Bombyx mori: one gene and its partners. The protein of the gene in region 1 binds, or shares a complex with, the protein of each later gene. Links are inferred from orthologs where the notes say so. Each region holds a gene or a part of one and is shown in the gene's direction. Other genes may lie near its edges.

Evidence for each region. Proteins that work in one complex are often made in the same cells at the same time.
Region 2: DNA-directed RNA polymerases I, II, and III subunit RPABC1 (region 1) and transcription initiation factor IIA subunit 1 share a complex: the UniProt entries of both Homo sapiens proteins name them as parts of the TBP-based Pol II pre-initiation complex. The link is inferred for Bombyx mori from reciprocal best matches to the Homo sapiens genes POLR2E and GTF2A1.
Region 3: DNA-directed RNA polymerases I, II, and III subunit RPABC1 (region 1) and general transcription factor IIF subunit 2 share a complex: the UniProt entries of both Homo sapiens proteins name them as parts of the TBP-based Pol II pre-initiation complex. The link is inferred for Bombyx mori from reciprocal best matches to the Homo sapiens genes POLR2E and GTF2F2.

What each region holds. Positions count from the first base shown.
Region 1 is NC_085125.1:6,611,204-6,615,450, forward strand, and holds the start of DNA-directed RNA polymerases I, II, and III subunit RPABC1, read left to right. Parts: upstream 1-1,434; 5' UTR 1,435-1,629; coding exon 1,630-1,686; intron 1,687-1,757; coding exon 1,758-1,846; intron 1,847-2,819; coding exon of another isoform or gene 2,820-2,897; exon of another isoform or gene 2,898-2,947; intron 2,948-3,202; coding exon 3,203-3,381; intron 3,382-4,247. Other genes in the region: leptin receptor gene-related protein, read right to left, coding at 2,820-2,897; piggyBac transposable element-derived protein 4-like, read right to left, coding at 1-143, 681-688. UniProt on the Homo sapiens protein: DNA-dependent RNA polymerase catalyzes the transcription of DNA into RNA using the four ribonucleoside triphosphates as substrates.
Region 2 is NC_085117.1:13,410,904-13,414,869, forward strand, and holds transcription initiation factor IIA subunit 1, read left to right. Parts: upstream 1-1,447; 5' UTR 1,448-1,969; coding exon 1,970-2,938; 3' UTR 2,939-3,451; downstream 3,452-3,966. UniProt on the Homo sapiens protein: TFIIA is a component of the transcription machinery of RNA polymerase II and plays an important role in transcriptional activation. TFIIA in a complex with TBP mediates transcriptional activity.
Region 3 is NC_085110.1:12,712,201-12,716,276, reverse strand, and holds the start of general transcription factor IIF subunit 2, read left to right. Parts: upstream 1-1,261; 5' UTR 1,262-1,453; coding exon 1,454-1,730; intron 1,731-1,861; coding exon 1,862-2,073; intron 2,074-3,465; coding exon 3,466-3,591; intron 3,592-4,076. UniProt on the Homo sapiens protein: TFIIF is a general transcription initiation factor that binds to RNA polymerase II and helps to recruit it to the initiation complex in collaboration with TFIIB.

The sequences.
Region 1 (4,247 bases):
CAGAAGACCGCGGGCACCCCCTTCCTCTACCTCGTACCCTTCCTTTTCGTGAACCACCACGTGTGGCAACACTCGAACGACCTCCGCGAGTGCGCACGCCTGTTGCTCTTGCACTGCCTCCCCTCACCCGCAAACTTCTCTCACTATGAAAATCCAATCAAAAGCGCAACATAAGCCACATGCAGTTAACTGGGTGCAGGAAAAAGACATTCAAATTAGTTTTAAATAAAGCGCAAGTGCAAAAGAATAAAAAAAGAAAGAAATAAAAAAAAAGTTTTCCAAATTATTTGTCAAAGCAAACCAAACACCATATAAAAGTAGATCCAATAGTCTTATCCATATTATGATAGCGAGCGAACAAAATGGCCGCGTTGCCCGAAATAACCTAACTGTCATCGTCCCGGTCCGGTCAGTGGAGGGACGCGTGTTATTTTATTCGATATTTCTCTAATTAATGAAAGATTTGAATAAATTTACAATTTGGAAAAGGTTAATAGTTAAGTAATTATTTCATTGTTTCCATAAATTACACAAATCTACCAATATTTGGTGCTAAATGAATGGTTTGTTTGGCCGACATGAGCGTGTGCTAAGCCTGAGTAGGTGTTAGATATCAATGTTTTACCACGAAAAGCGTGTCAAAACACGTACAAAAACAAAGAAATATGCTTATTACATACCTTTCCATCGCTTTTTCAAAACTTTATCTCGTTATACTGTCGTCAACCACTTAAAAACACTTGAAAATAGACGCACAAACACTTCCAACTACTCCGCGTTAGCAAGTCCGGAACAATGAGGTTTTTTTTCTTAAAAACATATGTAAGTTTACTTAAGAAAGCGTCTATATTTTGTCTTTGTTTAACGTTCTAGCAGTTGTATGCGTTAGAACACTGCAGAACGTGTTTTAAAGTGCGCTTTTCGAATGAAAACAGCGGCATCAAATTACTGACCGTTCCGGTCGCCTGCCAGCTAAGCGTTTATTTTATCATGACCGGAGCGGGAGGCTGCCACCATGGCACATTTTTTCCGATGGCGTCTGCCATAGGAAGGGATATTGCAGACCATGATTCATTTTATGTAAATATGATGACAATATATTAAAAATGAATAATTCCAAGAATACTGCCTTTGAATATGGATAAAACAACAAAGCTTAAAGATTTAAAATGGATATTAACCGTATAGTTTTTAGAAAAAGGGGGCTGAAAACAGAATAAAGTGGCCGAATTCAGTTTCTCGGATTCTTTCATTTATTAAATTGTCAGTAAATTCCGAACAGTTAATGAGAGGTTCATTAATTTCATCTCATCTAACAACTACGGTGCTGTATATATCTCATCAATTAATAATATTTTAAGTTATTAATTTTCATTCCAAGATCAATTATTTTTCAAAAGATAGACATGAATGGCTTTTGCTATAAAAAAATCTATTGTATGGACTGTGATTCCTTTGCGTATCTGTATTCTGTCAAAAGAAACAATATTCTTTAAAAACATTACAGGCATAGATTATACACTTATGATTACAGGATTTACAGGTAATAATACCTAGCTATAACAAGAGAATCAATGAAATTATCGTTTGTAGGAAAGGGATTTATCAGTTTTAAGTAGATTATAAAACATGGATGATGACGCAGAAACTTACAAACTCTGGCGTATACGTAAAACTGTAATGCAGGTGAGGTTATATTTGATGCTATTCATCTTGTTGGTTGGATTCTAACAGTAACCGAGGCATAATATTTACAGTTGTGCCATGACCGAGGATATTTAGTCACGCAAGATGAATTGGACCAAACTTTAGAACAATTTAAAGAGCAGTTTGGCGATAAACCAAGGTATACTATTGTTCTTATAACCTTATTAATCTGATACGCTCTAGTGTAGCCAGAAAGGCATTCGGACTTCGGGCTACGAGCAATGCATCCATCAAAAAATTTATTAATTTTATAATTTGCGTATACAGTATTAAATAAACTATCATGCAGTGACACATTTATGCGTCTGGATTGAAGATCTGGCAACGGTTAATACTAATCAGCAAGATCAGTGGAGTTTGCAGACCCCGTTTCTATTTTCTTTTCACTGTTATATTTTGTTGTAATTTTAAAGTTGTCCACTATAATTGAATCTGCTACATGTTTTTTTATGGTGGGATAGCACTGTACCGTTTTATATTGTCAAAAATAAAATATGTTTAGATCTTTCCATTGTCAATCCATATGTATAATGTTAGGGTTATTCAGTTTAAAGCTAATTGTAGGTAGCTTGAATTTTTATATTTTTATATTTAACAAATCAGCCTCAATGGTCCAAACATTAAATTAACTTTTAATAATTTGTTAATTTGTCCCTACATATGTATTGTACAAGTTGTTTAATTTCAAGTCAGAATAATTTGAATCCAGTTTGAAGTACTGAGTAGCTGCAAGTGAGGTCTCTTGTATGAAATCAAAACACAAATATGGATTTGTAAACACTACTGACCCATCATTTTGGTTCAGGGGTATTGTAGTACTGCTAAGTTTCAGATCCAGCTACAGAGCAATTCAACGTTTTTGTCTTAACACTTGTTATCTTTCTTAGAAGCTTATTGGAATCTCCAAATTTAATAGGTTCTCACTATTAACATCTTTAAATTTACTTTCAGTTTCTTTCATCAGTTTCATTGCTCAAAAACTTTTTTGGAACATTAACAGCCTTTTAATAAAATGTTCATAATTTGAAAAGTCAGCACAAGTCGGCAAACTTTTAAGGAATCACAATATAATGAGTGTTTTCTACCAAAATTATTGTGTACTAAATTGACTTACCAAAATATAACTGAGCTGTCTGAGATAGAGAGCGATGTACTAGACTGTTTTTAAATTTATTATCTAACATTTCCATTTCTTCAGCTGTCCTTTCAAAATTCTTGAAAGTGTGTAATTTAGCATCGAAATATTTCACAATGAAATGTCACTTTGACTTATAAAAATGATTGTTGTCAAAGAGAATAATGTAAATACTACCTCTATAGTAAATGATTATGTAGTTACTGTGTGAATAATTGGAAATTTATGTTACCAGATCATTCAACTCATGGCCAACAATAGAAATCTGTGGGTTAATGATGAAATTAATATGAAAATCATCAACTTTGAGTTGATTTATAAAGAAATCTAGAAATTAATACAGCATTTTAATTTTTTTAGTGAGAAAAGACCAGCAAGAAGTGATTTGATTGTGTTAGTGGCTCATAATGATGATCCAACGGATCAGATGTTTGTTTTCTTTCCTGATGAAGCTAAAATTGGTATAAAAACTATAAAGACATATTGTACAAGAATGCAAGAAGAGAATATTCATAGGGCTATTGTTGTTGTACAGGCGGGTATGTATCATTAACTAATCAAAAGTATCCTACATAGTACTCGAGAATGCACATTTTTCTCCAAATAGAGAGCAAAATAAGTGTCTTGGTTTTTACTCCTTAATTGTAAAACTTTGTGGTTTTGATTGTATTTTGGAAACTCAATGTATAAATATAGCTTTAGTGGTATTTTCATAACTAGCCACTTCCTAATGTGTACATATATCGATATATATTTATTAAATGCATGAAAACCTTATCTGCACACTGTTCATCCATACTATGTGGAACCATGCGTTCATCGTCAGTGCGTTTCCAGATATCTTTTTGCCACATACCATCCGGCTCTGGAATTAAATCTACTCCACAGTACTTCCTGAGCACTATGATATGTCATTCTTCAAACGTGGCTTGAAGGTGTTACTCTGAGGTAGGCAGCAACTTGGCTGTGGGCTTGCTGCTGTCCATGAGCGACGGAAACCACTCACCATCAGGCTGGTCGTATGCTTGTAAGCCGGTTACAAAAACTAAAATAAACCTCTGCAATCTACAACTGCTATTTTCAAAGGGAATTTTGTATTATGATGGCAGCCATCTTCGCAATATCAAAGAGGAATACTAACAGTAATTTCTTTGAAATTGATGAGTCAGAGATATGAAAAAAAAAACTCGTATTTGCATAGTGATGAACCATAAAAATTTAATACATTGCAAAACTCCAAAATTAGAATACGAAAATCTTCAATTTGTGAATAAACCATAAAGGTAATTTTGATCGAGAAGAGTAATGTTTTGATGGTTCACCTATGTACATAAATTAAGTAGCAAGGAATCCCAAAAATCTCTCGAAAAAAAAATCAAAATAAAACTCATATTTTCGTAACTTT
Region 2 (3,966 bases), on another chromosome or scaffold:
GACACTTAAAAATTCTAGTACTTATCCTTGATTGATATAACACAGTTATTAATAGCAATGTAAATTAGGTATAACGGTATTCTTAGTTAGCATTGTAATTTTAATTGTAGTTAACATAAATTTCTATTATCATTGACCCAAATAATTTTGCTAACTTGTACATAGTTGGAAAATTTTACTTATTAAATATTTAAAAAAATAATAATGTATATTAAATCATTAAAAACAGAAACTTTCGAAATGTTGCAAATTTCGACAAGAGATGGTTTTTGAACTGCCATAAAACCAAAATTCTACATTAATAGCGAACACATAGTGAATAGTAAACAAATTTTAGTTTGATCCTACGTTAATTTAGACTTCAGGTGAGCGAGTAATGATATTCTGGAACGTATCGATCTGCTGCAAATAGCTAGCCGACGAACAAACCAACACGGTCCCCACTAGACCGCGTCGACCGCGGACTATACAGATACACACCAATCACTGACAGATGACGTTATTTCCCCGAAATAACTAGCTGTGCTTTTAATTTACCTTTAATTAATTTACGGTAAATGTGCTGTATTGTGTTATCAAGAGAAGTTTGATTTGATAAACTGAAAAAACCGTGTTTCATTCGGCATTGGTATCGATTTTGTTCGTTACAATATTTACTAAAAGAAAATTGAGGTAAATGAGTACTGTAACCCTCATATTTTGATATTTATAAATTTTTAATATTATATTGAAGTCAGAATATATAAGAATGTTCCATTAGAATACCTTCTTACCAATTGTCGTGCTTTAAAAATCTGTCACAGAAAGAAATGTATTGAGTCAAATGAATTGATGATGATTGATGTCAAATTAATAACGAAAGCATATTATTATACACTACCTTTTCAACTATATAAGTTTAAGCCCCTATTTTAAATATAAAAACTTCAACGTCATTCGTTACAAAAAAAATGAAAAGCTTCGACAAAGACGAAAAGTTCTTTCCAACATTTGGATTTCCCGCCACAAAAATACTAAAATTCAATTATTGTCTATGCCACCAATTTTAATCAACATTTTTTACAACCACTGAAAAACTGAAAAATCTATCTAAAATAACAATTAAGTTTATAGTTACTCTTGTTTCATAAACGTCCTATTATGCGGTTTTATTAAGAATGAAGTCTTTAAGTTTTCATAGTACAAGATAAAATTGAGTGTTGCGTTGCTTGTACTCAACAGTGCAATAGTTTAATATAAATAAAATATAAATATTATTTAGTCAATATTATTTAACAATGGTTTAAGTAGAAATGAATTTCATTAAAATTGGCTTGTAACGAATTTTTTTGAATGAATACCGTTTTTTGTGAAAATTCTATATTTTTAAATTTCATCATTCAATGTTATAACAATAAATTTTAGATATGCCAATTTTGTTTTGAAATTTTAAAGTGGTGGCTCTTTCCTTTCAAACCGTAAAATCAATTTAAAGGCAACTACCCAAGGCGCAAACTCACCAATACGTAATCAACCGGGGCGCGGTGCGGGGCGGTGCTATTTCTCGTACTCATAACGCATGCGCCATCTTTGTCGTCGTTCAATGTCGGAATCAACGAACCATAGACAATTATTTCTTTAAAGGCTACGAAATATTTCCTCGGTTTGTAGGTTATGTTTGAGTGATCAATTGTCAAAATTTTTATGGTGAATTTATAAATTTGTCTCTCTTTATGTAAATGGACGTCATAAAAGTTAAAATAAGCTACTTTAGCCACATATTATCTTAAATATATAAAATTGGTCATCAACATTAGTGAATTAACAAACTGTGTGAATTCCAGAAATTTGACATTGAAATGTTGCGATGTGAACTCAGAAGACAAATAATCGGCTCTAAACTAAACTAAACAGATTTAGAAACAAGAATATCTAGTTCTGTGAACATTTTACACTGTTAAACAATTTTCAACTACAGCTCGATTGCAAAATGACAACGAGTCAGCTCGCAGTATTGAAACTTTACAACATAGTGGTAGACGACGTGATATCCGGAGTGAGAAATTCTTTCTTAGATGACGGTGTAGACGAACAAGTGTTACAAGAACTAAAACAACTATGGAAGACAAAGCTTCAAGCCAGTGGAGCCACGGACCCGTTACAACCTGAGCCGATGCTGCCACCTCCTCCAGTGTTACAGAATTTCCAAAAAGTAAATGGTAGTAATGTAGTGCATAAAAGAACTGACATGGGACATACTTCGGGGCAACAAGAACATAGTGCACCAGCATCTAGTGTAGCTGGAACGCATACTCATCATATTCTAGACCCTAATAATAAAGTGCCAGTTCAGCTTACATTACCTGCTCAACCTGGAGTTCCAGGGTCCCAGCCTCGTTCATTTACCATTCAAATTCCAGCATCAGCTCTGAACGGCAACAAACTGCATCAGGTCTTAACAGGTCCTATAATAAATGCTACCATTAGCCTTCCACAACCTCTAGCTGCTACTTTACTGCAACAACATATCAACTCGGCTTTAGCAGGACAAAAAAGTGATTTTGATAGCGGCGGAGGCGGCCGCAGTGGAACTGCTCCTTTCTCTTTAGATGGTGCTTTGGACTCTTCTGATGATGATGGCTCAAACGTAGGTGATGGTTCAGAAGACGGTGCAGCAGATGATGATGATGATGACGATTCTCCCGAAGAGCGGGCAGAAGAAGAAGAAGAAGAACAAAATGAAAGTGGTGGTGCTGAAGAAGAACCCCTAAATTCCGGTGATGATGTATCTGATGAGGAGCCAGGGGACATGTTTGATACTGATAATGTAGTTGTTTGCCAATATGATAAAATTACACGCAGTCGCAATAGGTGGAAGTTCTATCTCAAAGATGGAATCATGAATCTAGCTGGAAAGGATTATGTATTCCAAAAGGCTAATGGTGATGCGGAATGGTGATTATAGACAGTGTGTATTTTATAGAAAATTATTTGTTATATCTCGGAATTAGGGCTTAAGGTCTCATAATTATTATTTCGTTATTTCGACATGTAATTTGATGTCTGTATGGCAGATATCTGTGTAACAAGATTACGATAAGATTGTTAAACAAATTATGAAAAAAAAAAAACAATCTTTAGTAGGTAGATTTGAAGTTTTCTAAGACACTAGTATTACCAATAGTAAAAAACTCTACCAAGCTCCTTCAGTCTCACTTCCCATTAGTGTGTTTTTTGTACACTACTGAGACTACTACTTACTAATATAATTACAAAAAAAAACACAAAAAAAAATCTAAATGAAAGATATTTATTTGACTTTGTGCTTCTAATATCGAGATACATATCTTGACTTATTGGGTATTAATAATGTACAATACAAAAGAAGTTTGTGAATAATTTTGTTATCTCTTAAGTTGATGCTCTTTAATTTAAATGCCACTATTAAAATTACAATAAATGTGACACATGACCCATGTTTTTTTTATAATATTGAAAATGTCCTTAATTTCATTTGTTTAAACAAAAAATATAATGCATAAATAAACAACTTTTAAATTTAATAAAAATGAGTTAAATTTCCTCTTTAAAAATGAAAAAAATATTTATTACAGAGTATGTAAGATCAAAGATAATTTAAATATCAAACAAATAGTCCTTATTAGAAGCAAACAATTAATTTGGTTTTTTTTTAAATTTCTACATCTCAACAATGGGCAAGGACTGCAAGGGCATGATACTTTAAAATGTAATTATTTCTAATATAATAATATTATAGATAACGTTTAGGGGGTTTTATTTTAATAACGAATTAAATTGCACTCTTAATATTAAGACTTAAAAGGAAAAATAACTACACACAAACTCATATGAAAGCTATTTTTACAGAAGGAGAGTCATCATGTTTCTAATGTAAAAAAAATCAGTTAGGCTGCTTTAAAAAAGTATGGTAAATTTCAAAACAGAGTGCACTTGTCCACAATGATC
Region 3 (4,076 bases), on another chromosome or scaffold:
TTAATTTATATTTACTTGGGAAATGATCCACGACAGATTTGTCCTGTAAGTTGTGAGACAATTAAAAAAAACATCTATTTTATCACTTAAAATTAGTTCAGCGCAATCGGACAACTCCGAATGAACATTGACGGAGACCACGCTACCGTGGACATTATTGTAGTCCCAAAGGATTCTGTATATGGGAGAGTAAGCACCTAAATTCGAACGAGTGAGCTTTCTTATAAACGGTTTATATTTCTTCGGTCTTGGTAAGTACTTAGGGGCTGATATTTTTATCTGGGTTAAGAGATTAGTTATGTCGGTTATTCCATGGATTAATCAGATGAATACCCCCACTCTGAACAAATATTAAATATTTTATAATGTATTACTTAGACATTTTTGTCCACCTCGAGATTTCATTGTTCTTGTTACATGTCTGTGCAAAATCGACTTACTTATATTAAATTGCTTGGCTATTTCAAGTAAAGACTTATTCCCAATTTCATAGGCTTCTATTGCTGTTTTTAATATTAAGGGATCATATCTCTTATAAGGCTTTGCACTCTTTGATACGTAAACGCGAGGCATATCTAAAAATAGAAAACAATACGTAACTGATAATATATTTACCAAACAATAAAATAACACATTGATAATTTTAAATAAAAGTTCTAGACAAAGACATCATGAATAAACCAGATTTTTACCAACAAATTTAAAAAATATTGTTATAACTACATAGACAACCCTACAAACCTGTACCTATTTATACTTAGGTGGTTTCCATTTCACGTATTCTCATCCCAATTGACCCCTTTTTCGTTGTTATTTGTACCTAAGACGTCCCTAATATCCCCCAAAACAACAGATTTTTACATGTATTTTTATTTTATCAAATACATTAAAACCAATAACAACTGAGACTTACCTTTAATATATATGATGGTTCAAACACTAAATAACGTTTATAAATCACAGTCGTCTTCTATTATTATCAAATAAATAAAAGAGAGCAAAGTTTCTAGCACTAAAATAATTTCCAACACAGGAAGTTAATTTGAAACGCGATTTTTTATAAGTTAGCAGCTATTATCATGCATATTCAGAGTTTTTTTGTGAACTTTCAACATTCTACTATTAAACTACAAAAAATGGAAGATTTTGCAACGAATATAAAACTAATATTGTGCGTCGCAAGATTTTCCCGGTTTTTTCCCGATTCGCCTCTCAATCCCTAATCGCCCCATTTTACGGTATTTATTATATTAATCTGTGGTTAAGCTGTCACCATAGATTATACACTTAATATTTTCGAGAGCTGTCACTTATGTAGGTCTTTTGTGGAAGTGCAAGTAAATTTTCTAAGATTTAGTTATAGTTAAAGGAAATCTTTACGACTTTAGTACTTTTAAAGGCCGTTAAAATAGTGTCCGCTATCGACTGCTAATAGATTTTATATTCCACAACAATGACCGAATTGGACTTATCAAATACTGGTAGAGGAGTATGGTTGGTAAAAGTACCTAAATATATAGCAAACAAATGGGAAAAAGCTCCTGGAAACATTGAGGTAGGAAAACTAAAGATCTCCAGAGTACCAGGAACGAGAGCTAAAGTGCAGTTATCCTTGTCAGAAGCAGTGCTATGTTTAAAGGACCCTGGTGAACAAAGCATACCAAAAGAACATAAGCTTGATGTTTCAAACGTTAATACTCAATCTCTAGGTGTATTTTCGCATATTGCCCGTAAGTAGTCTCATAATTATCTATATTTAACGCCTCCTAACATGTCCTGGTGAACTCAATGATAAAATTAATTTCATGTCTAAAGTTCGATATTATATTAATCGTGTTTATTCATAATATAACCATTTTAGCGACAAATACGGACTCTGTAGTACCAGAGACAGAAAACCTTTACATGGAGGGTAGGATTGTACAGAAATTGGAATGCAGACCAAATGATGATGTGACATACTATAAGCTTAAATCTGAATCAATAAAGAAAGCATCCATGCCTCAGCGACAAGTGCAACAGCTTGACAGGATTGTTCAGAACTTCAAACCAGTATCTGACCATCCACATAATGTATGTTTACTGTTGAAATCTAAAGGATTGATTTACTGTATTTTTCAGCAACTGATCATTAAAACATGCCCCTGACTGCATTGGAAGTCAAACTAGAGATGATTAAAAAGTTTTAAATAGAGCATGTGTAGAGCTCTGAGATCTCCAGATGCAGTTCAATACTCTTTGGATATGTTGTTGAATGAAATGCTTCATATAAATTCTACTAGAAGTATTAAAATACAGGTTGCAGCAATGTCTGCTCCCATTGTATAGCAAAGTTATCATTTAGACAAACTCGAAAATAAAAACATGATTGATCAATATAAAAAATTATAAATTGTGTAGTTATTGATAGCTACTTATCTGATAACAGTCCTCCATAGGTTAGGAATTAATGGGACATAAGTAGTGATTGATATAATTGGAATGGTGGAACGGTAAATAGGGAATGTTTAGTAGCTTGGGATGGCCAAGACTGTAAAATTTGCATCTTGAGCTGGTATAAAATACAATAGGTACTTCCACCTTTTATCTGAAGATGGGTGGGCATTCATATATGTGTGGTATTGGTACAGATAGTAGGGTGTGTGTAGATATTGCTCCTGCTTATGTTTACAGCAAATCATTGTGTGCTTAGTGTGAGTTTTTAACTTCTTGATCAAACGGCCGTCTGGTGTAGTGGTAAGTGACATGGTCACTACACAAGGAGGTCGCGGGTTCGAATCCCGCCAAGGTAAGATATTTGTATGATAAATGTAAATGTCTTTCCAGGGTTATGGGTGTACATTAAATATATGTATGTGTATAATAAAATATTATATTTATTTCCGTTATCTGGTACTTGTAACACAAGTTCTTTACGAACTTAGCACGGGACCAGTTAACGTGGCGTGATTGTTAGTAAATATTTATATTTATATTTATTTATATTTAAAAAATAACTCAAATTTGTATGAAGTTGGAATAGCGCCCCTGCGTTTGCTTCTTGGGGTGCTGTTCCAACTCTGATCGAGAAGTTAAAAAGTTCACACTAAGCACATTGGTTTGAAGGAAAACCTCATACAATAGAATTGAGATTTCGACTTCTCAAGGTTTTTGGTGCTATTCATGTTATGATGACTAGTGAGGTAACCACTTTACACTGGGTGGACCACGGGGTTCTTCACTCATCTATATAGTAAATTAAATTATAAACATCAGTAAATAAAAACAAATGGCTCTGTATATTTTTACTTTCTATGAGCTCTTAAACCAACCAGAAAACTTTTCACAAGTGACACAATGAATAACAACAGGTTTTAAAATTTCTTAAGTTGTTTTACTTTTTGTATTCTATTAAGTTTATTTCATTTCATTATGTTAATCATGCTTTTTTTAATTTTGTATATTAAAATTTCGTAAAATATTTAGATTGACTACCAAGAAAGGAAGAAGGCTGAAGGGAAAAAGGCTCGTGATGATAAAGAAGCAGTGCTCAATATGCTGTTTGCAGCATTTGAGAAACATCAGTATTACAATATTAAGGATCTTCAAAAGGTAATAAATACTATTCTGATGATTTTATATTTGTCTAAACATAAAATTATTAACACATTATTAAGCAAAAAATTTAATCATTGTCTTAATAAAAAAAATAAAGGCCAAAAGAAACTGTTTCACTGTATATATTATATTCTAATTTTGATAATACTGTTCATACTTTGAAACTGAGAATAGTAGTGACTTTGAATTTAAAATTAGATGTTCATAAAAAAAAACACATCTAATTGCATTTTTTTTTATTGCTTTGATGAATGGACGAGCTCACAGCCCACCTGATGTTAAGTGGTTACTGGAGCCCATAGACATCTACAACGTAAATGCGCCACCCACCTCGAGATATAAGTTCTAAGGTCTCAGTATAGTTACAACGCCTACCCCACCCTTCGAACCGAAACGCATTACTGCTTCACGGCGGAAATAGGCGGGGTGGTGGTACCTACCCGTGTGGACTCCCAAGAGGTCCTAGTGAATTATGTAAT